Linked DNA regions of Macaca fascicularis. The protein of the gene in region 1 purifies or fractionates together with the protein of each later gene. This does not show direct contact. Links are inferred from orthologs where the notes say so. Each region holds a gene or a part of one and is shown on either strand. Other genes may lie near its edges. The genes, in order: PTCD3 and YBX1.

Region 1 (3,812 bases):
TGCTGTGATGAACAAACACTTCACTGGAACAAGGCCCAGGCATTGGCTTTTACATTTGTTCCACCTTGAATCCTGGTGGGTTTCTGGAATCCTGGGATAAGCCTAGAATAAATAACAGCAACTTATTTTTACCGAGCAAAAAATAGGTTGACAGTGAACAAGAGAGTGTTGGTTTTACATAACAATGATCACTCCTTGTTCCTTTCTTGTCTCAAGATAGTAAAGAATATGGTTTCAAGTTCCGCAACGACCTGAGAGAAGAGATCCTGATGCTCATGGCAAGGGACAAACACCCACCAGAGGTAGGCCTGAAACTCCAGCCAGTATATCCTCCCATACTGAGGTCTTAAGGCTAGCTTCCCCAGTTTCATCTGCCATTTTGGAGAGTTCTGCCACCCAAACCCATATTTGAGTGATGATACATCTAAACATATCTTGCCTTTAGCAGAAATCTGTCCTTAAAGTTACCCTCTTTCCTGTAGTCCAAAACAGGCAACATGAAATTAGCTTCTGTCTTCAGCTTGCTTTTTAAAAAATCTCCATCTATAAAGGAAATGCATAGCTGAATGTGAAAGTTTGTGGCTAATCAAAATACTTAGGACAGGGTCCTTTTTTAATTACTCGTGTGCTATACACATAATATATTCAAATGGTAAAATGCATTTCTCAGAATTTAAGGATCCTGTAATTCTGAACTGAAATTCTCACAAAATCAGTTAGGCGGTTCTGCTGACTCCTAAAGCTTCTCAGCTTCAGGTGGCATTTGCTGACTGTGCTGCTGATATCAAATCTACATATGAAAGCCAACCCATCAGACAGACTGCTCAGGATTGGCCAGTCATCCCTCTCAACTGTATAGCTGTCCTCTTTTTAAGGGCTGGGAGAACTCAGGAAGCCTGGTGAGTACAGTACCACAAGTTTACACTTTAGAAGCTTTTGTATTTGGATCTAAAACATTGACCCACGCTGGTAGAAGTTCTCTGATTTGGCCATTCTCTCATTTGGCCATGTAACAAGTATTTGATTCGGGAACTTGCAAATACCAACTAAAAAGGAAACTTTTGGAAGAAGACAATATGCATGATGTATTTGAGATAAGGCCTGGTTCTCTCAAACCATAGGCTGAGAATTAATTATCTTTCCCTTTCTACTTTCTGTGTCTATGGACAAGTAAGTCACTTAACCCCATTACTCCACTTAAATGGACTAAAGATCAAAGAAACATGATCAAGGAAACATAGTTTTGAAAATGTTTTGGTCATTTGGGTTATTGAAGTATTTTTGGATGCTTCTCCCATCCCGCTCTCCAGCTTAAAATGTGGGCTGTGTACTTAGACATCTGGAAGCTGGCATTTACGCACATTAACTAAACTTGGCCTTGACCACAACCCATCCTTGGTTGGTGCCGCTGTGTTCTGGTTATGTTTTTATCAGCATTTCATTCACATACTAATTTTTGTGTTTGTGAATGGGAACCTTAGCCATATTCATGTTTCCAAAAATGAGCAAAAGGATCTTTTGTAGGGATAGTGACAGGTGGTTTTCCTGTATTTTGTTTTGTATATAAATGTGTGTTCTAAGAGTCACGAGTGGGAGGTGCTTGTGCATGGCTCCTTGTACAAGAAAGTAACTATTTGAACATCCGATTGCCAGTCACCTATCTCCAGGAAAAGATGATGAAGGCTTGTCTTTGAGGTGCGGCTCACACATGCTCCTCTAGCAACTATGCTGCTAGTGACAGAGACGTATGACATTGGCATTTGGTTGTTAGCTCAGGCAGTTTGGCACACACTTGATACGACCAGGCTGTGATGATTGGCGCAGGGGTACGGACCTCAGCTGAGTCATGGGAGCTGAATGTATGTGTTTCTCTTTTGTCCTGCGTGTGGCAGGCTAATGGGGAGCACTTACATGAGACTGTTGCCTCAATCTGAGCCTGCTCTTCATAACAGAATTCTAAGACAGACTGAACCCCTGCCGTATTTTAAGAGAGGGAAACAGCATTGTTCTGTTTGCCTCTTTTCCAGCTGTGCACAGGATGGATTCCCTCCCTAGGACAGTGGTGATCCTCTACAAGAGGACAAATACAGTTGGAGTATCCCTTTTCCAAAATGCTTGAGACCAGAAGTGTATGGGGTTTTAGATTTTGGAGCATTTTTGGATCAGGAATATTCAACCTATACCAGCAAATCTTGACATTGGTAGCGTATCAGATTTACCTGTGAAAATTGCAGTATAGATTCATTTGGGGAGTTTAAGCACCTGTGGTGATTCTCATGTATACGCAGGGCTGGGAGCTAGTAGAGCCCACAGATGTGTGTCTTTGGGAGCTTACAGTGTAGTTAAGAAAAGGGCATTTAGTCTGTGATTACAGAGGGATGACAGCTATAGTATCTGATTGCCTTGTTTTTCTAATAGTATTCATAATTTTTTTCCTATCTTGAACAGGAAAATGTTGGGGCTTTTCAGGAAGCATAATAAGATCCCTAGGTAAGTTGAAATCAGTCAGCTCTCTTTGAGTACGGCCTAGAAGTAGCCACATTTGGAATTTCTTCACCAGCCTTAGCCACCACATTTGGGCACTCTTCTGTTAGGCAAGCATACCGTCAACTCCCTACTATCCAGGGCGTCCTGAGGCAAGCAGTTTTTTATCTGTGCTCACGGGTCACCATGAGCTACACAGAATAGATCATCATGAAGTCATATTGAAAATCCCTTTGGCCCTTTAGACTTTCCAGCCTCACTGGAAACAAAATAAATGTTAGACTTCATCTAATTTTGTCTCCAGAAGTACTGTTGGGAATCTATTACTGAACTTATACTGGATCTTGTCTATAAATGTTTTACTAAAGAGGCTGGAGAAAGTTCACACTTTGCCTTTCTTTTACAGAAATGAGTTGCTGAATGAGTTTATGGACTGTGCAAAAGCATCTAACAGCCCTTCCCAGGCCATTGAAGTAGTAAAGCTGGCAAGTGCCTTCAGCTTACCTAGTTGTGAGGGCCTCACCCAGAGAGTAATGACTGATTTTGCAATCAACCTGCAACAAAAGTAAGTGGGTCACCACGAAGGAAAGTTTGTAAAATGGTGCAGACCTTTCGTCCATCTGCCCATTCAAAATGTTCATAGCTTTCTATCCCCTGTATTTCCTTGCAGAAGGTCAGAATGTAGTAATTTAATGATGATTTCATTTGTTATGCAAGTCAGGAAGGCCTCTAGATTTGACTGTTAGAATCTTTTTGTTCCTAATATACTTTAATGCAGCTGCAGGGTCCCTTTTTCTGCTTTCAAAACTGATAGGCTATAGGTGAGTGTCAGAGACACCAAGAACCCCAGCACCTAATTGAATTGCAGTGTAATCCTCCATTTTCTTTTCTTAACAGGGAAGCCCTAGGTAACCTAACTGCACTGACCAGTGACAGTGATACTGACAGCAGCAGTGACAGCGACAGTGACACCAGTGAAGGCAAATGAAAGTGGAGATTCAGGAGCAGCAATGGCCTCACCGTAGCTGCTGGAATCACACCTGAGAACTAAGATATGCTAATATTTAACACTGTTACAAAGAAGACAAGATAAAGATTTGGTGAATTTGTTACTGTGAGGCACAGTCAGTACACAGCCCAGTTCTGTAGATTTAAGCTCCTAATTTGCTACTTAATAACCATCTATTAATGCACTGTTAAAGGTTTAGCATTTAAGTAGCAACATTGCGGTTTTCAGACACATGGTGAGGTCCATGGCTCTTGTCATCAGGATAAGTCTGCACACCTACAGTGTCGGTGAGCTGACCTCATGCTGCCGTCCTCGTGCG
Region 2 (4,553 bases), on another chromosome or scaffold:
ACTAGGGATCAGCCAACTACACTCCGTTTTTCTGTGGCTCATGAGCTAAGAATACGAATCGTTTTTAAAATGTTTAAATAGTTGAAAATATGTAAAGATTCGTGTCATGTAAAAATTAGGGCTGTTTTCAAGCTCCAAACCTGAGTAGTAAGTCAGAACCATATTGTCGGCCAAGCTTGTATTATTATTTGGTTCTCACAGAAAAAGTTCCTACCCCTTGCTCTAAGCAATTGGCGATGATGGCCTACAGTAGTGGCAGTAGGAATGAAGACTCTGAATTGACATTTAGAGAGTTTAGGACTGACTCAAGAAGGCCTTTAGGAGGTGGAACTGACAGGCCTAGACGGCATTGGTAGGGGTAAGGGATACTGCACTAGCCTCCTAACTGCTTTCTCTACTTCCATTCCTTGCCCCTCTGCAACCCATTCTCCACTCCGCAGCCATTTTTAAAAAGATGCCCCTCCCTACTTACGACTCTAAAATTGCTTTTCTCACTCTTCCCCTCAGGATATATTTCCAATTCAATACACCTAAGTGACTCTGCCCACCTCTGCAACCCAATGTCACATTCGAGTCTTATTGAACTACTTGACTGCATTTCCCGAGATCCCACCCCTTCTCGCCTGTACCCTGTGCGCAGAAAGTCAGCCCTCCACCTTCTCCCTGCTTCTACTCCCAAAATACTTCGTGCTTCTGCAGCTCTGGAGTATTTACCGTGTTGGCTGTTTAAATTTCTGCCTCCATCAGAAGGCAGAAACTGACTCGCGAACTATTCCATCCCCAGCCGATAGTAGACGCTTAAAAAAGAACGAAAGAAGGTGGGTGGAGGACTTCAGTAACATCAGGTGGCAGCCTCAATTTTATCGTTTGTGAAACGTGGATAGTAATTCCTCTATCACATGGCTGTTGTACGAATTAAATGAAAAAAAACATAGGACGCTAGCTTGTTCAATAAATGTGAGTTGAATTAAATCTGATTTGTGGCCAGTAGAAAAACACGTTAACACTTGAAAAGGAAGACACATTTTTAAAAATATATGCCTGGTAAAACGGATCAGAAGGCAGGTCCCCACGGAGCACACCCTCGCCCTAAACATGCTGAGCCCGGGCTGCCAGAGCCTGCGTGGTCCCTCCAAGGTGACTGCTCCGACAAAAGCGTACGCTCTTCAAACGCATACGTTTAAGGCAATTCCAGAAACCCTCGGCTGTGCCGCGAGTACACGGCCATTAAAGAAAAGACGACTCTATGCCCGCCGTAATGTTCTCAGATCACAGGGACCGTATTTGGTGCAGGGAGGGAGGGAAGCCTTTTCTTCACGGGGAGCTAAGGCGTCGTCGAGCCCCCTTCCAATCCCGGGTCCGGCCGGGTAATCCCTGCCCAGCGTTCGGGCGTGCCTTTTTTTCAGCCGAGACACAACCCTGAACGTCGGGCCCGCCAGCCCGGCGACTGCCTCGTGGAAGTCACGTTCCCTCTGCCCGTCCTCTCAGGTACTCTATGGTTTTCGTGGCCGACTACTCTAATTCTAGTTCCGGTCTCTATGGCGGCCGGCGGAGGCAGGAACGGTTGTAGGTCGGCTGAATTAGCCGCCAGACAGCCAATGAGAGTGGAGGACTGATAAAATGTTAGTCAATAGAAGCCAGGGACTGAGGTCAGGTGGGCAGATTGACAGTACCACCGGCCAGTGAACAACGCCTAGGGCGGGTCGATCGTAGGGCTTATCCCGCCTGTCCCGCCATTCTCGCTAGTTCGATCGGTAGCGGGAGCGGAGAGCGGACCCCAGAGAGCCCTGAGCAGCCCCACCGCCGCCGCCGGCCTAGTTACCATCACACCCCGGGAGGAGCCGCAGCTGCCGCAGCCGGCCCCAGTCACCATCACCGCAACCATGAGCAGCGAGGCCGAGACCCAGCAGCCGCCCGCCGCCCCCCCCGCCGCCCCCGCCCTCAGCGCCGCCGACACCAAGCCCGGCACTACGGGCAGCGGCGCAGGGAGCGGTGGCCCGGGCGGCCTCACATCGGCGGCGCCTGCCGGCGGGGACAAGAAGGTCATCGGTGAGGACCGGACAGGGACGGGGGTGGGGCCTTCGGGCAGCCTGGCAGCGGAACCGTTAGCCGGGGCTGGGCGAGCCGGCGGGCGCGCGGCCGGTGGGGACCGACTCCGCGGCGCGCGGCCGCCCCTCCCCCCGCCCCCCCACTCGCTCTTGCGGGGGCCCGCCCGGCAGGCGCGCGCACACTGCCTCCCGCGCCCCCTGTGGACCCCGCGCGGCCGCGCGCCCCTCCTCCTGCGGCCGCGCGCCGCCGACCGCGTGTGCGACGGGGTCCCCTCCCCGCCGACTGGCCTCGTGCGCTCGGGCCCGCACGCCGTTGTTCGCGTCTCCCCCACCCAGCTCCCTTCCGCGTGTGCTCGGAGGGCGCGGCGCACCGCCTACGCAGTCCGGAGCTGCTTCCCCTTCCCTCACGTGCTCTCCGTCCGCGGCCTGCGAACACACCCATCCTGGGCCCGCGCCCCGGGCCTGCCCGGGAGCGCCCCGCGCTTCAGACTCACCCACGTGTGCGGCGGCGGCGGCGTGGCCCCGGCGCGGACCCGCACCCAGGCGGTGGAGAGAAAGGGCTGTCAGGTGGCCGCGGCGGGCAGCGTGCGAGGGACCGGATGCCGAAGCGAGACGGGTTTGGAAAAGGATAGCTGGTAATCGTGGCTTGTTTTGCTTTGTTTTCTTTTCCAGCAACGAAGGTTTTGGGAACAGTAAAATGGTTCAATGTAAGGAACGGATATGGTTTCATCAACAGGTGAGCTGCTGGGCTCTGAAGCCTCCATCCTACCTTCTTGCTTGCTTCTTGCTGTGCCAATCCACAGTCCTCTTCTGAAAGGCGTTTACTACCTCTGGTGTATTAATGTGATTTTTTGTCTGTTTGTTTTCCTTGACGACTGGAGGGATTTGGGTTTAGAGAATGCCTTTGTTTTGCAGCTAAATATTAATTTGAAGCTAACTTCAAGGGCTTCGTCACAGCACAAAGCAATTTAAAAGGCAAGCGGAGTGAATGAGCCATTCCTTAACAGGGTAAACGGGAAAGTACGGTCCAGTAGATTTTTATTCTTGTCATCCTTTTCTACTTTATTGAACTCGGTATTTGAGAATGTGATCCACTGACATCGGATATTTACGCCTTGTTAACATTTTGGGGGTAAGAGGATTTGACGTGTCAAGTATATGAGGTTTTGTCATCTTTACCGAGAGGTTGTATTGCCTTTGTTTCACGTTTCATTTTAATACCTGAGATAAATTCTGTATTAGCACAGCTTTGACCAGAGAGAACTGTTTTTATTTGTTCATAAATAATATATCTGCAAGAAAATGGTTTTTTTCCTTCAGTTCTTATTTCATTCTTCCTTGTCCTAAAATCATGCTGATGAAGTCAATTTCCGCTAGATCCCTGGCTGTAGCTTATTAGAGTGGCCATAGTCACTAGTAACTTGACATTGTTCTTCCTGTTTGAAGGTAAAGCTGCAGATACGTCTTTAGGACTTACCCTTCGGGTTGTTTGTGGCAGTGGTGGTGGTAACGTGCAGTAGACGCACAGTATTCCATGGGCTTCCTTGTGAGCCGGGCATCATTTTCAAGATGGCTGCCAAGGCTAGTAGTGCAGTTACATGGGTGTAGAGCACTGGGTATGCCAGTAGCAATCTTGGCCTCACAGGTATGGTACTTAAGTGCCATCTCAGCATTCTCTTGCTTACTTACTGTAGAAGACCTAAGCAGATGATTAAAAGAACAACGTGGAATGGACAACAAATGGGCAAAATCAAGCTTAAGGACAGATTCATGGCCTGATGAAAAACTGTTCATTAATCAATCATAGAGTATTGTGGAAATACTTAAAGTAAGAGATAAGCATTTGATGATCTATTCTCTACTTTTGCAATTGTGGGAAAACATTTTGTTTCTTCCAGAATCTTAGGATTTTCCAACTTGTTCTATACTGTTTGCCTTCCTGGCTGGCTGAAACTACGGTTTTCATTAATTTTTTGATAAAAGCTTACTAGCAAAGAAGAAAGGGAATGCTTATATATGATTGGTAAACTGATAGCTTTTTAACTGATCTGTCTGAATTTGTTAGTGTTTTAGTTTGTATTTGTGTCTTACTGACTGTCCTTACTAGTCTAACTCTTAAACCAGTGGTTTTCAAATTTAAGTGTGCTTACGTTGGAAGGGTGTGATTTAAGTGGTGTATTTCTTCTGAGCTTTGGATTCATTAGGTCTGGGTACATTTTTAACAGGAATGATAATGGTCTTCGGGCCATACCTTCAAAATCACTGCTTTTAACCCTTGACCCAATGTAATGGTAACTCTGGTGTGCAAATATGCATCCTTTTCAGCAGATAGATCGCAGTTTTTGTATGTGTTTAAGAAGTTTTAGCATGTGCCTTGTTTCGCTGCATTTTTTTTTTAAGTGGGCATAGGTTATGACATTTTTTGAAATCAATAGTTTTGTCCAAAATAAGAGTATTATCTTTACACTTTATAAGTATTTAGTCCATGAGATACTATTCATTGAA

What was found.
Region 2: the proteins of PTCD3 (region 1) and YBX1 purify together in Homo sapiens (co-immunoprecipitation; 4 studies listed by BioGRID and IntAct, with this or other methods). This does not show direct contact. The link is inferred for Macaca fascicularis from reciprocal best matches to the Homo sapiens genes PTCD3 and YBX1.

What each region holds. Positions count from the first base shown.
Region 1 is NC_088387.1:35,442,177-35,445,988, reverse strand, and holds part of PTCD3 (small ribosomal subunit protein mS39), read left to right. Parts: intron 1-216; coding exon 217-302; intron 303-750; coding exon 751-899; intron 900-1,802; exon of another isoform or gene 1,803-1,939; intron 1,940-2,448; coding exon 2,449-2,490; intron 2,491-2,890; coding exon 2,891-3,049; intron 3,050-3,381; coding exon 3,382-3,472; 3' UTR 3,473-3,812. UniProt on the Homo sapiens protein: Mitochondrial RNA-binding protein that has a role in mitochondrial translation.
Region 2 is NC_088375.1:192,186,727-192,191,279, reverse strand, and holds the start of YBX1 (Y-box-binding protein 1), read left to right. Parts: upstream 1-1,744; 5' UTR 1,745-1,883; coding exon 1,884-2,683; intron 2,684-2,720; coding exon of another isoform or gene 2,721-2,784; intron 2,785-4,553. UniProt on the Homo sapiens protein: DNA- and RNA-binding protein involved in various processes, such as translational repression, RNA stabilization, mRNA splicing, DNA repair and transcription regulation.